Linked DNA regions of Rhinolophus ferrumequinum. Each later gene encodes a partner of the first gene's protein in a complex. Links are inferred from orthologs where the notes say so. Each region holds a gene or a part of one and is shown on either strand. Other genes may lie near its edges.

Region 1 (6,921 bases):
GCTGGGGCCTCAGGCCCGAGAAGCTTCCGTCCCCAAGCGGCAAGACACCGGAGTGGGCTGCACTGCTGTCTACGGCCTGGCCTGTTCTAGGCCGGCTGTGAGCACAGTGCTACCTTCCACCTCTCAGCCGTTTCTAGCCTGAAAAGGTCCCACCTCCAAGGCCCAGGCACACGCTGCCGGCACCTGGGAGCGCTGCATCTATGGACAGGACACGCCACACAGCTCGTGCTCCAGACACAAGCGTCCCTCTGATTTCCCAAATTCTAGAAAACGCTGTCAGTCAGCGGTGCCAGCGGCGCACAGTGACCTCCCCAGGCCCCCCGAGCAGGGTCCCCACAGACATCCAGGAGCTGACACTCGCTGCTTCCACCCTGTCCTGGGGTGCCTTTCCCCCATGCCACTGCCTTGGGGGCCCTCTACACTTAGCGAGCGCTAGCTACATCCAGAGGTCACTGCTGCACAAACACAAGGGACCTCAGAGACAAGCCAGGCCCAGTGACCAGGGACGTCTTTTCCAGGCAGCAGCTCCATTTGCAATACGTGTCTTAGGTGCAGAGGACAGAAACTGTCTTTGGACCCGTGACCACAGGGCCAGGCCTGGCCGCCACTCTTGACACCAAACACGGGGTGGCGTGACCCTGCAGCACATTAAAGAAAGAACACTACGGCCGAGCCATAAAACAATGCTCTCAAAACCCCACTTAACAACCGCTTGCACAGAACAAGGGGCTAGGAACACGGCCTGCACTCTCCTCCAGCCTCTCAGCACTCTGCAGCCTCCTTGGCACCCCATCTCAGACAGGCGGCCGGGGTGGGTACTGGGTCAGGGACAAACATGGGCTCCTAAGTACGCTTGGCGTCTGCTGAGCACGCACAGTTCCCCACCCAAAGGGCACAGCCATCCACCAAGTCATGAGGGAAAGTGGCCACCGCTCCACCTTCTCATTCACTTGTTCGGGACAATGTTTCTCAACCTTTTAAAAATCCTTTCTAAAACAAAAATGTCCCTTGCTTCCTGAGCTTTTATGACAAAACCACCAGAAAATTATGTGCTCAGCAAATACAAAACATGTCACTCACTCTCCTTCCCAGGCCTGTGCAGGAGGCCACACTGTGTGACACCTGATTTAGATTAGTTCCCACCCCCCCCCACCCCGGGCCCCCCGGGCCTTTCCAACCTCAGAAGAAAGAACGCCCCTTGGAATCACCATATAAAAAGTAGAGTCCCTTACAAATAGAGGATGGAAAACCATGAGCAGGAGCCTGCTAGCCGCCTGGTGGGGCACCCGGCCACCCAGCCACTGCTGCAGAGCACGTGGACAGAGGAACCTGCCGGGGGCACGTGTTGAGCACACGAACACCAGGTCGGTGGCTCCCCCAAAGGCCTGCTAGTGTCTTGATGGAAGTCCTTTTTAGTTAAAACACCCCTCAACAAGACTTACTCCCAGAGCCCTCAGGGCCACGGGGCAGGTTCATCATAGGCTCAGAGGCTGTCGTTCCGCACAGGAGCTCCACTTCAGCCACAGAAACCCAGTGCCACCTCAGCTGTACAGAAAGCACCTCATGCTCATCAGGCGCCTTGAACTTGACAACTGGCTCACTCCACAGGGTCCAAGGATCAGACTCTGAACCCCTACTCTCGCAGCTGGCAGGCCCACATGTGGAGATGCCCAGCCACAGGCCCAGCTGGAATAATACTGGCGGGCTCCTCAGGCAGTGCAGGCCCAGTGGTGCCATCTTTATACAGGCTCACTAGCTCACACTGACCAAGGGCACGGCCACAAAAATGCTTTTGAGGCCTTTTCAGAAAGGAACAATCTGCTGCATAGAAAGTTGCAAGGATTTGCTCCTTCCGGCTCCCACTGTCTCTGTGGTACCCTCAGGAAGGGCGATTTAAAAATAGATTAAATCAAACCAAGCCTTGCGCATCGCTGTTCTCATTAAGTGAAACCTGATCAAGTAGAGCCAATCAATGAGTTCCTAAGATTAAGTCCCACCCATTTGATTAAATCAGGATGGACTGATTCCTGGGTAATGAGATCTCTTTTCACCCAAAGCAGATATAAAGATTAAGCCTAGAAGAAAAAAGTATTTGCACTAAAAGTCCATGGTTTACATTTCACTGTAAGAAGCAAAGCACGGTTACTGTTCTGGGCACTCATGTAGCCCCACGAAGACCTGGTCATTCACAGGGCAGTGAGGAGCTCCTCAGGAGTCCCCAAGCCCCCCTTCCCTCTTGGGACCGCCCTTGTACCCTAGACAAAGCCTTGACCCTTGCTTCTGCTTTGGGTTCACTTGGGTCTGACTAAAAAACTCAATTCATTGGTGCAAAAATCTGCTTTTGACCTAAATATATAATCAAACATTCCTACTTCACAGAACATCCTGACGACAAAGGAACAGGGCAAAAGACATCACAAAGAAGAAATCCAACAAAACTTGATGGTAGGCACTCTGCAAGGTAACACGTGGGTTTCCTCAAGGAGTCAGGTGTCTTTAAAGGGGAAAGAGGGGCGGGGGAAGGGCTGTTCTGAGTAGCTAAGGAGCAGAGTAGTGAAACGGGGAGTCCTGGTTCAGACCACTTGGGGAAGAAGACATTTGGGGACAACCGGAGAAATCTGAATGTGGGCTAGGGATGGGCACAGGTGACACAGAGGAATTCTTAGGTTGTCTGATGTGACAACAGTAGCGTTACATTTAAATGCGACTGAGTGAGTGGGGGGAGGCAACACATGAAGCGAACATGGAAACGTTATTCACTGTTACTCCCTGTGCTCAATGGAGGGCGTATCCTTCTAATATTCCTTTTCTTGTTTGAGAATTTTCAAATGAAAGGTTTTAATGCATCTCTTTGTCCCCTGAGTTTCCCGGCCCAGTTTGATCGTGATAAAAGGCTGTACTGTTTCTCCTTACAAAACTTTTGATGGTGTCTTTATACAAATATGGGCCCAAACCGCCTACCTTTTCTCTGCCAACTTTTCTTGAGAAAAGGGAGACCACAACCCAGGGACTTTGTGCGGGTATTTCTGGGGGAGACAGCACCGCCAGGCGAGTAAACAGAGCTCAAGACACAGCGAGCACAGGGGACACTCACAGTCCGGGCAGCAGCCATTAAAGGCCATCCGGCAGATGCCGCAATTCTCGTCGTTGGCCACCCAGAGCCAAGTGGCCACGCCGTTCCAGCACTTAATCTTCACCTTCATGACGGAGGAGCCTGCGGGCGAGGGGAAGACATCACCTGCTGCCCTTAGTCTGCAGAGCGACAGCATTTAGACACCAAACAAGGGATGCTGCCCGAGGCAGAGGGTCGGCTCTGAGAAACCCTTGTAGCCACCGAGAGGGGGAAAGGCGGCTAAAGGGGTCGCCCGTGGGAGGACCGGAGCCCCGGATACTCGCCACGCACTCAGGGCATCTGCAAAGACCGGCCAAAGGGCGCGCTGGCTTTCGCTACTAAACTGCCACAACGTGCCATACAGCACTTCTTGAAGGACATGACTAACTTGGGGGTGACGGGCAGAGACTCGAACCTCGCTTGCTGTGAGTTCACGCGGGAAACCACCACCCAGCCGGAGTCGCCCGAGGGGAGGGGCGACGAGCCCCGTTCCGCCCCGCCCCGCGCCCAAGCGGACTTAATCGCGCGCAGCACCGCCCGCCTTCAGTTGGCAGCGCCGGAGCCCGCGCGCGAAGCTACAAAAACTACCGCGGCCGCGGCCCGGGACCTGGCAGTGGAGCCCGCTGACCCCCCCCGCGTCCCAGTGCGCACGCGCCGCCCCGGCCCCCACCGCCTCCGCCGGCCTGCAACCAATCGGCGGCCGCTCCGAGAACGCGGCACCGGAAGGCCCCGCGCGTCGCCGGAAGTGACGCGCCGGCGTGCTGACGCGCGGGCTCGAGCCGAGGCCGATTCCGCGCCCGCCATGGCCGACAAAATGGACATGTCTCTGGACGACATCATTAAGCTGAACCGGAGCCAGCGAGGCGGCCGCGGCGGGGGTCGGGGCCGCGGCCGGGCTGGCTCGCAGGGAGGCCGCGGCGGCGGAGCACAGGCCGCCGCGCGAGTGAGTCGGGGCGGCGGTCCCATGCGGAACCGGCCGGCCCTCGCCCGCGGCGCGGCGGGCGGCGGTGGCAGGAACCGACCGGCGCCCTACAGCAGGGTGAGTGCGGAGGCCGCCGGCGGGCCGCGGCAGGGGAGCGGCGCGGCGGGGCGGCGCGCGGCCGAGAGGGCGACGGGCCGGGCCGGGCGGGTGGGCGCGGGCGCGGGCGCTGGGCCGGGCGGGAGGTCGCGCGCCGGCCGGGCCCGGGAGGCGGACACCCTCCCGGCCTTTGTCTGGCCGCCGAGCCTCGTGGCGGCAGGCACTGAGGGGACGTTTCCGCGGCCACACCGGCGGCGAGAAGTTAGTTGGAAAAGTCGCGGGACGTGGGGCCCCGGCAGGGTCGACTGCGGCTCGGCGCGGGCGGGAAGCGGAGGGCTTCAGGCCCCTTTCCGCACTTTCCTCCGGGCCCCGCTGGGAGAGGGTCTTCCAGGGGCAGTGAGGGCGAGGGGCAGCCCTGGAATGCAACTCACGGGTTTCTTTCTGTTGTGTGTTTTCCCCCTTCAGCCGAAACAACTTCCTGACAAGTGGCAACATGACCTTTTCGACAGCGGCTTTGGGGGTGGTGCCGGCGTGGAGACCGGTGGGAAACTGCTGGTGTCCAATCTGGATTTTGGAGTGTCGGACGCTGACATACAGGTAAGAGACAGGATCCTGTCGGTCGGTAGTTGACCCACGCGGAATTGATGGCGTTTGGGATGTGGCCCTGAATCCCTTCCCACCTTAGGACATTGAGCCCTCCCAGACACCCGAGGGCTAGCCACTGTCCCCTGTCAGGGGCTGCTAGGGTGGAGAGCCGAGGTCATGCTAGAGCTGAACCTGCAAGGAGTAGGTCCATTTGTGCTGGAAAACAGGCCCCCAGCCTAGTGTAAGGAGCCGCTGCCCTCCCTTACTAAAACCTGTTCCGTGAGTGAGGTTCTCTGCCAGAGCTTCCCGTTTCTAACAGGAAAAGACTGGTCAGACTCGCGTGGTTCCTGTGTTACTGATGGAGCTGGGCTGCTTGCTTGCTTTACTTTGTGCTTGTTTTCATGATTCGTTGAGAGGAGAAAGACCTACCTCTGTAGAGGTGACAGCACAGAAGCAGGCCAGGGCGTCTTTCTGGCTGTCGGCCGTGAGCCCTGTGTCTTACACGTGCCGGTCCACTCACCACCATCCCTCAGGTCTTGTTAGTAGCATGACTTGCCGACCCATCTTTGGTTGAAGCCTCTTCCCGCCCCCCCCTTTTTCTTTTTCTTTTTTTGATTGAACCTCAAAGGCATTTAAACCTATTTTCTGGTTAAATGACAACATCTTGGGGGTCAGTCCTGGAGATGGCCGGGTCAGGGTTCTGGGCCTTCCTGGGTTCAATTTCCCAGAGCCCAGCTGTGGGAGGACAGAGCAAGGCTGATGAGCACTCACAGTGTCTCAACACTTTTTTTAAGGTGGTTTCTGGCATCCACTGGAAACCGCTTTTGGTGAACTCCACTTCCCGCTGTGTGCCTGCGGCCGGAGTAGCCCCACACTCTGGGTTCCCTCTCCAACTCCCAGCCTGCCTGAGGTCAGGGCAGTTTCCATGGCAGCGCTTGACTTCAGACTTTGCGGCAGGCTTGAGTAGGAGGAGAGGGAAAGGTGAGCCAGAATCTGCCCCGGGGGAGGGGCTGGGTCAGGGCTCCCGAGTCAGGGCCCTTGGAGCTGGTCCACATGTCAGACGGCGCCCCTTGAGCTGTGGTCTTGGCCTTTGCTGTTTGTTGGCACAGTCCGTGGGTGTGTTGTACACTTTCCTTTGCTGAAGGAGATAGTGACCTCATGTCGTGCCCTGCACTGATGGGCTTTGCGGCCCTTCACCTGCATCGTGGTACAGATGTCAGGTCCCCAAGTTGGCAGGAGCCCTCAGGCCCAGCTGCTCCTGGAGGGGGCTGTCCCACCTGCCCCATCCTTGCCCCCATTTCCCACTACCACTGCCCTGCCCCCAGGGAAATCCCCTCAAAGTAGCTCACACTTCCAGGGACTGTCCCTGGGCCAGCAGAAGGAAAAGAGCCCGCTGACAGTTGCTGTTTCTAACTCCCAGGAACTCTTTGCTGAGTTTGGCACTCTGAAGAAAGCGGCCGTGCACTACGACCGCTCCGGACGCAGTCTGGGAACAGCCGACGTGCACTTTGAACGGAAGGCAGACGCCCTGAAAGCTATGAAACAGTACAACGGCGTCCCTCTGGATGGTGCGTTTGGGATTGGACCCAAGAAGACTGAGGGGCCACGCCTGGTTTGTGGAGTTGGGGCTGGCACCCGTCCATGCAGGAATATGGCTCTCCCCTCTGGCTGAGGACACTTTGCACTCGCCCCTTTGTCTCTCTCCCACTCTGCCACTTCTCACGCTGCCCCATACATGTGGACCAACCTCTTGTGAACCCCCACCAGCAAGCTACATCCCTCCCCTCGTTCAGCTCCTTCGGAAGACTCACTCCTGTGAAGCCTTCTCAGCCGCCAGAGTACACCTCTGAGTGCGGGGCTGTAGTCGTAAACAAAGGTACCAGCTCTCCTCCTGGCAGGGCGCCCACACCGTTCCGCCCATGAGCAGCCTGGACACCTGACCAGACACCCTCCTAAGCTGGACTGAGGAGCGAGGAGGTGGTGGTGGGTTGTCGTCGGCGCCGTCTCTTGTCGCGAGCGATCGAGACACGCACGGCCCCTTCCCAGTGCCTGCATGGAGACCGGGGCGTGGTGCCCTGGGTGGGCGTCAGAGGTCTCTAACAGGAACGTGCCCTCTTGTATTCTTTGCCACAGGCCGCCCCATGAACATTCAGCTCGTCACGTCACAGATTGACACACAGCGGAGACCGATACAGAGGTGAGTTCT
Region 2 (8,044 bases), on another chromosome or scaffold:
AACTGAGACTAATCAAGTTTAGCCAGGGAATTTGCCCAAGGTTACATGGTTAGTAAGTAGTAGGTTCAGGGTTCAAACCGAGATTTGCAAGACATCAAATGATTACCAGTAATTGATTCAGCATTGTGAAACAAAATATAAATGAAAAGTAGATTTGAGAAAAACTTTAGAAGCTGTCTACAAACTCTATACTTCCCTATTCTTTATCTTTCAATACTACTCCCAGAAAGAACAAAAACAAGACAAAAGGCTAAGTCGTAGTGAATGAAAGGCTCTCAGAAGACTCATTACCTCTTTTCTGATCATGACATCATTTTTGTAATTGCTGTTGTTGGCATATCTCAGTTTCCCTATGAGGGGCAAAAAACAAATTCAATGTATAATAAAAACATGAATAAAACATCATTAGCCTACTAAGACAATCAGCTGTTGCTTAAAATGTATCCTAACTTTCCCCTCAAGTGTCTAACAGATTTACTCCCCCCCCCCTTTTTCTGCCTCCCCCCTCAACTCCGGTTCAAGCCGTTGTTCAGTGTAGTTGTATAGGACACAGCTCCCTGGCCCATGCTGGTATTACGAGCCTTGTGCTCCCGCCTGGCTGAGGCAGTCGGTTGCCGGTCGTTGGTCGGTCTCTCACAGCAGCTCAGTGCACCTCTTGCTGGCTGCCGGCCACTCACACTGGCCACCGGCTGCTCTTGACAGCACACAGCAGCCCAAGCCAACCTCCGGCAGCCCACGGCAGCCCAGCTCCAGGGAGAGCCGTTGTTCACAATCTTGGCTGTGGTGGGTACAGCTCACTGGCCCATGTGGGAATCGAATGGGCAACCTCAGCATTAGGAGCACGACACCCAGATTAACTATTTACACCTCTGGTGTTTCAACAGTAACAATTTTTTCAATTCTTCACTTCAGGCTATTAAATAGCCTCATAGCCAAAAATATAGCTGACAATGAATTACAGTTCTTGCAAAAGGTAGCTCAGATGTGATAAAAGAACATAGGCAGACTCTTTTGTGACAGGCACGTCATATCTCAGCTGAAAACAGGGAGAGTAACTGGGAACTTACCTACACGGAGAGCCTCCAGAGGCTCAAATGAGTTGTGAAAGCCTTTTGAAAACTGTAAAATACTGTTTACATATATTACCATGTGACTGTGCAATATTCTGATCTATTCCTATGATGGAAAAGTTGTTTTATTATTTAGCACATTTGGTTTATAAGGCCCTTTGTGCATATGTGCATTCAACGGGCTAATTTGGGTATATGGTGGGTATGAAGGAGAAGATACAAAGAAACAGAAGAGGTGATTTTTTTCCCCATAGAATAGAAGGCACACATGTAAAAAGAGCCAAATTAATTGATGCCTCACTGCACTGTTTCTCTGCCTCAAGTCTGTCCTTTCAGTTCATTCTCCCTATAGTGGACAAACTGATGTAGTAACAGACAGATCTGATTAGGTTACTCCTAATACTGTGATATGGACAGTAGCTTCCCACTGCCTTCTTGATAAAATCCAAATTAACATGGCATACTGTTAAGCTGAGCCCCCTGCCCTGCCTTTCCAGGCTCACTCCTGCAACAGTCCTCTCTCCCATAGCTGGAGTTAATCGGACTATTTGGTTTCTGCCTGAAACATCCCATGCACTTTTTGGTTTTCATTCTCTTTGCCTTAAATGCAGTCCAAAAATACCTTCTTGAGTCTCATCTGCCTAAACAACTCCTACAGCCACTAAAGACACATTCCCCCGCCCCCAAGTTATTTTATGCCAGAAGCCTGCTCTGAACCCTTAGGCTAGATTAGATGCCTTCTTTCTACTCCCAGAGTCCCTTCTGTTTCTTTCTACCACAGCACCTAAAATACTGTCTTATCATTGTTTAAAAATCTATCTCCTTCATAAAATTCAGCTTGTCAGATTCATCTTTGTGCCCCCATTTAGTGGGAGTTTTCCGTCATTTTTTATTCCTTTTCCTTCACCACTGTGGCCCCTCCCTAAATCATGTAATTTACAAAGTCCTATTGGTTCGTCCTCCAAAAGTACCCTAAATTTTTCTCTCCATTTTTACCACCCAACCAACATCGCTTTTGTCTGGACAATTGTTAACTGTCTCTTAATAAGTAGCCCTGTTTCCACTCTTGCCTATTCTGCACCCACTAATTAGCATACTTTCTCAAGCACAGATCACATCTCTTCTCTGCTTAACTTTCCAGTTGCTTCCTGTTGCACTTAGAATAAAATCCAAACTCTTCACCATGGCCTATAAAGACCTACATGGTGTGACCCCTGCCACTTATCCCACATCATCTCCTACTATTCTCCCCAGAGGTCACTACTCTCAACCATATTGGTCACCTGAAATATGCCTAGTTCATCCCTGCCCTACCGCCTTGACACTTGTTCCTCCCTCTGCCTAGAATGCTCTTCCTTCTGAGCCTCATAAGGGGGGCTCCTTCTTGTCAAACAGGGCTCAGTTCAAACATCCCCTCTTCAGAGAGCTCTCCAATGGCCACTCTATCTAAAAGCAGCCCACCAGCAATTCCATCGTTTTGCTTTATTTTCAGATCACTATCTGGACTCCTTTTTTGTTTACGATTTCTCTCCCCGCAATAGAAGTACAAGTTCCACGAGAGAGGAAGCTTATCTATCATTCACATCAATCTGTATCCCAGATTGTGAAACACAGCCTAGCACAAAGAGGGCGTTCAATCAGTGTTTGCTGAATGAGGCACGCTGGTCAAAAATGTCACTAAACAGAAGTCCCTCCACATGGACAGGAAGAGCACAGGAGTGTTCCTTCTAGATCCGCGCGGCACAGGTATCAGTCCGTTCCTCTAATTCCCCGCACATTCCGGACCCCCGGGCTCCCCACTGGCCTCCCCCCAGGCCTACTCCTAGCTCCCGGGGCGCTGGAGGCCGCTCTCACCGTCGGGTCGGAACTCAAATTCCAGGAATTCGTGGCCGAACTTGCCCTTGTGACCCACGTAGTAACGTAGATAAAAGTCACTCTCCATGGCTCGCAACAGGTAACGGAGACCAAACTTGAATACCAAACCACACCGCCACCATACGCGCCCAACACTGACGTTTACGGCGGCGCCCGGAAGTGACGTCAAGTCAACGCTATCGCCGGAAGCGAAGGCGCCGCTCCGCACCCGAGCCGGGCTGTGGGCTGAGGCTGCCGGGTCTCTCCTGGCGGAAACAATGTTCTTTTCACTCGGTGGAGGGGTCAGTGCAGCCACGTTCCCTCAGCCCGAGGCGGAAACGAGGCGGAGATTTACCCGCCGGCGTTCTCCTAGGAGTGAGGCCGACAGCCAAGCCACGAAGGGATTCAGGGCTTCGGTGAGGGGTGTGTAGACCTCGCTTCAAGACCTTGGGTTGAACACCCCGAGTCCTGCGTCCCTTCAGGCTCAACTTCCATTCAAAGGACTTGTGTGCGTCGCACAAGGCGCCTCGCGGTCTCTGGACCTAGGTCATCTCAACAGTAAAATGGGGTTAAATGACCCGTTCCCACAGGAGAACGCAGCGCACTATATGCATATGTCTAAAGTTGGCTCCGACCGAACTGGGCTGGTTAGGGACCAGTTCGAGAAAACCTTTGTCAGAGATGCTTTTCCTGAACCCATAGTGGAGACTGCCATTTCTCTGGAATGAACTTGCCCGCACGTATTTCTCATTTTCCCTCTACCCTTTGTTTCTGCCGTTCCCGTTCTACCTCACTGGTCTCTGAAGTGCGTGCGTAGAAGGTAATTTGAGTATTTGATCTCCCACTCCCCAGACATCTATGCACTGCTTACCCAGCAGGGATTTCTCAGCCCTGGCTGCACAATAGAATCACCTCGGAGCATCTGAAAAATACCGATGCCTGGGCCCCACCCCAAACCAATTAAATCAAGATCTCTCGCAGTGGACCTGGACATGGGTGGTTTTGGGTTTTTGTTTGTTTGGGGGGTTTTGGGGTTTTTGTTTGTTTGTTTTTTGCAAAGCTCCCGGGATGAGTCAGGGTTGAGAACTGCCCAAGAGGTTCTTGTCTCTTCAGGCCAAACTGGTTGACCTCTGTGAAGGATTTCTGGCTGTGGGAAATTTTTGCTTCTTGATTAGGCAAAGGGCAATCAAAATCCTAATTACTAGAACCCTGCTTTAGCTCACCTAAGTTCCAGCCAGAGGGGGAATGGAACTGGTTCTAGAGACAGTGCCGAGATGGCATCATTCTTGGGACCTGGCAACTATAACTGGATACTATTTTTGTATTCAGGCCTATAGTCTGATTCTCATTCCTAGTCTTGCCATTGTTCATTTTCTCCCAGAAAAAGCATTGGTAGCAGAGTGTAAAGTGGGTGTGATGTGATGTAAAAAAAAAAATCACTTGAGAAGTGTTAAAATAATCCTTTGTGTGATAGTGATTCACTGTGATCAAAGGTGAACTTACTGAATTTTTTGGACTTCAGATTTCTTATCTTTAAAATGAGCTTGTTATATACCTGGCAGAACTCTTTCAAGGATAAGAAACAATGTTTTGGAAATTGGAAAATACAAACTAAATTACCATAAAACCGTAAGGCATTTTATTTTTTAAAAATCCTGGATATAGGTGGTAACAAGGAAATTGTATAAAAAAGTGAAAGGAATCACCAGGTATTAAGCACCTAATAAATGTCAGCCCCAAAGCTGAGCCCATTTACAAGTGCTTGTTCCTTCAATCCTTATAAAAATCTTGAGGTAGTAACTGGAGTTAAGTATATAGAGACATCAGGTAATCATGAAGGACCTTACAAGACATATTAAGGAGTTTGGGCTAAAACCCCGGGGTATTGGGTTTTAATCTGTGTGTCATGCGCTAGGAATACAATGGTGAATAAAACAGACCTTTATAGAGCTTGCAGAGGAGGCAATTGAGCATACAAGCAATTATAATGTAGGGATCAAGGTTATAAATAGGGGAAGCACAAAATACTATGGAAGCACAGGGAGTGGCTCCTAATCCAGTCTAGGGGCTTAAGGGAAGTCTGAAGGAAATGTTCCAGAGGGCCCAGAACTGTGATTAGAATACAGAAGAGGTAGGAAAGGGGCAGAAGCCAAATCATGAGGATCTTACAAGCCCTATTAAGTAGTTTAGGCTAAAACCCAAGGGTACTGGATTTTAATACAAAGGAAACAGATGAAGGGCTTTAAAGCAGGAAAGTAAAACGGGGTGGTGGTGGCATGACCTAATGTATTCTAGAAAGATTACTGTGGCTACAATGTTATAGATTGGATTGGAAAATGGAAAAATTAGAAGTATGAAATTCAGATTAGTTGTTAATCTACGATGGTGATAATCCATGATGGTGATCTTTATGTACTCCAATAGTAGCAATGGAGATACAAAAATGGATGGATTTGAGCTGGAATACCATAATTTAAGGTGTGAGCAAAGGAGATTAAGATGTGGCCAGAGAGGTAGGGGGAAAAACAGAAGTATGGTGTCATGTAAGCCAAAGTAAGAGTATCCTAAGAAAGGAGTGCCAACAGTGTTAAATACTCCTTGCAAGGTCTAGGAAGGTAAGGAGTGAAAGTATTTACACTATTTATGATCAATGAGCTCCTGGCTGACCTTGGTAAAAAGCAACCTCAGTGGCATGGGGGTGAGAAGCAGGGCAGAAGTATTGGGATACAAGTAGGCCAAATTTGTTGTGGAAGCATAATTACCCTACCCTATGAGTTAGGTCTGGGTCTGAGAGAATGCTTCCTGGAGGAGTAGGCCTAAGCAGAGTACTCAAGGACAAACAGGAGTTAGCCAGATAAAGAGGCAGAGAAGGAAAATCGAGGCAGAGAATGCCACATGTACATGAGCGCTATGTGCTACATGTACTTTGGGGGCACTAAACATAACTATGACTTTGGGCAGTTCCTTCACCCATTTCCTTATCTATAAAATGGGAATGATAATGTTGACAGTATTTATTTCACAGATTCGTTGATGAACATTAAGGTAATTTATGTAGAATAATACTAGGTCCACACTAGGGACTCAACCAATGATTGTTCACTCCCCCCTCATTAAAGCATCACAATGAAACACTTTCAGATTTTAAAAAATGAATTTAATGTCTCTCTAGAAACAGTGCACTGATTTTACAAATGTCCACACTTGGTTTTTAGTTCACCAAGATGACGTCAATACAGCTAGTAAGATGCAACACTCCACCCTTTGCCTCTGGAAGAGAAACCAGACTGCAAAGGGGACTGAGTACAGAAACTAACGGAACTCGGAATGATGAGACAAAAAGATCAGAAATGGTTAGTGTGATCCAACATTCTAACATGCCTGTTTGCCTGTTACATCAAATATGGTAATTTGGGTGTGTGTGTGCGAGGGGGTGGGGAACAAACAAGGAAAATTCATTGGGGTACAGTGTGATGGAGTTTGCAGACCAGTACTTCACCCCCAAATTAACAACAGCTTGTATAGAACAAAATGCTATTTTAAAACACATGGTTTGTACAGGTATTTGTTTTCTCTTGTAATTTTTGTAAAAAAGTATCAAAACCTTCATGTCTTTAAATATATCTATATATACATATACAGGTGGTTCTTTTTAAAATTACTTTTTATAGCACAAAGTGTTGCAAATACAGAGGGTTTCTGCTGATTTTTGAATATGCACATGGTGCATAGCTTGAATGAAAAGAGCTTCCTGAATTATTAACTGAAAATTTGAAGCTGTAATTCTTCTACCTCTAAGTTCTCCATATCCTGAATATCCCCAATACCCTAAAAATACAGTGTGAGAAAACTGCAATCCTCTATCTTCATGCATTGATGGGAAAGTAAATAATTTACTCTGAAATGTTTTAACTGCTAACCATTTATATTCTGTGAAATGACGAGTGTGTGGCTAAAGTTAGGGAGTGAGGTGGGGAGGCTCACCTTCCTGTGCCCTCTCCCCATTCCCACCAACGCCTGACTGGACAGTGCTGGGGTTACCTCTGTAGACTCATGTCTTCAACATTTCCAGTTTTCTTTCTCACTGTTGAGAAAATCTGAGGCTCCTGACAACGTGGAGTGCTTCTGTGAAAATTCCACGGCCCTTATATTAGTTGTCATTGACCATATCAAAAAACTTCAACTCAAATATATGAAAAGCAGTCACGATTTCCCTTTGGCCACTGGAAAGCTTGAGGCTGAAGAATGCCAAGCCTGCAAAGGGCTGGCAACACATCCTGATGAAGTTTTCATGATGCACTCAGTGCCTCGTACACAATAAATGACCAAGAAATGTTTGCTTAATTGAATCAGAAATTAAATAGAAGTATTCTATAAAGTGCTTAATTGAACCTGTCTTTTCATTGAGCCTCATTTCTTGCTAAGTCTCCCTTGAGCTTTTTGTTCCTTCTAATGAATTACATGCACTTCCTTAAAGTCCCCATGCTGTTCCATGCCTCTGTGTCTCCTCTGCCTGAAGCAACTTGGACACCCCTACTTAATTTTTAAGACTTAGCTTAAGGTCACTTCTCCTATGATGCCTTTCTTGACCCCATTCCTCATCTTCTTGGGTAGAAATGATCTCTTTGTATCTTAATACTCTGAAAAGAATCTATTCTTTTTTATGTTTCCACATGTCTTCCTCTATTGCTATTATGTGCTCCATAAAGACAGAAAATGTTTGGTTGACCTGTACATCTGTAGTGCCTGACACTTAGTTGGTACCTAGAAAATGGTTTCAGTGAATTAATATACTGCAATCACAAAGAGAGAATTGGAGGGATCAATAGTACTTTTTGCCATAAATTTAAATCTGATCTCATTCCAAGGTTACAGGTTACCTCCATCTGTTTTATAAATAACCATGCTATCTAAAGTAAATAAATAAAATTTTAGTTTTCTCTGTTTCTGAAAGGCCATTTCTGCCAGGGCCTTCATAATTCCATTGGAAAGATAGATAGCAGGTTTGGTACAGTGATCAGGCAGCCCAAAGTAGTCTCCTGGAGAAGGAAAGGGAGGAAAAGGACAGGGACCAGTTTCTTTTAAATAGAGAAAAAATATGTCTGATAAATTTCCTGCCC

What was found. The genes of interacting proteins can lie anywhere in the genome.
Region 2: ALYREF (region 1) and MAGOH share a complex: the UniProt entries of both Homo sapiens proteins name them as parts of the ALYREF/THOC4-EJC-RNA complex. The link is inferred for Rhinolophus ferrumequinum from reciprocal best matches to the Homo sapiens genes ALYREF and MAGOH.

The regions. Positions count from the first base shown.
Region 1 is NC_046304.1:54,671,013-54,677,933, reverse strand, and holds the start of ALYREF (THO complex subunit 4), read left to right. Parts: upstream 1-3,893; 5' UTR 3,894-3,914; coding exon 3,915-4,151; intron 4,152-4,595; coding exon 4,596-4,727; intron 4,728-6,135; coding exon 6,136-6,283; intron 6,284-6,848; coding exon 6,849-6,912; intron 6,913-6,921. Other genes in the region: ANAPC11 (anaphase-promoting complex subunit 11), read right to left, coding at 3,095-3,203. UniProt on the Homo sapiens protein: Functions as an mRNA export adapter; component of the transcription/export (TREX) complex which is thought to couple mRNA transcription, processing and nuclear export, and specifically associates with spliced mRNA and not with unspliced pre-mRNA.
Region 2 is NC_046292.1:38,088,220-38,096,263, forward strand, and holds the start of MAGOH (protein mago nashi homolog), read right to left. Parts: upstream 3,104-8,044; 5' UTR 3,013-3,103; coding exon 2,925-3,012; intron 351-2,924; coding exon 292-350; intron 1-291. UniProt on the Homo sapiens protein: Required for pre-mRNA splicing as component of the spliceosome. Plays a redundant role with MAGOHB as core component of the exon junction complex (EJC) and in the nonsense-mediated decay (NMD) pathway.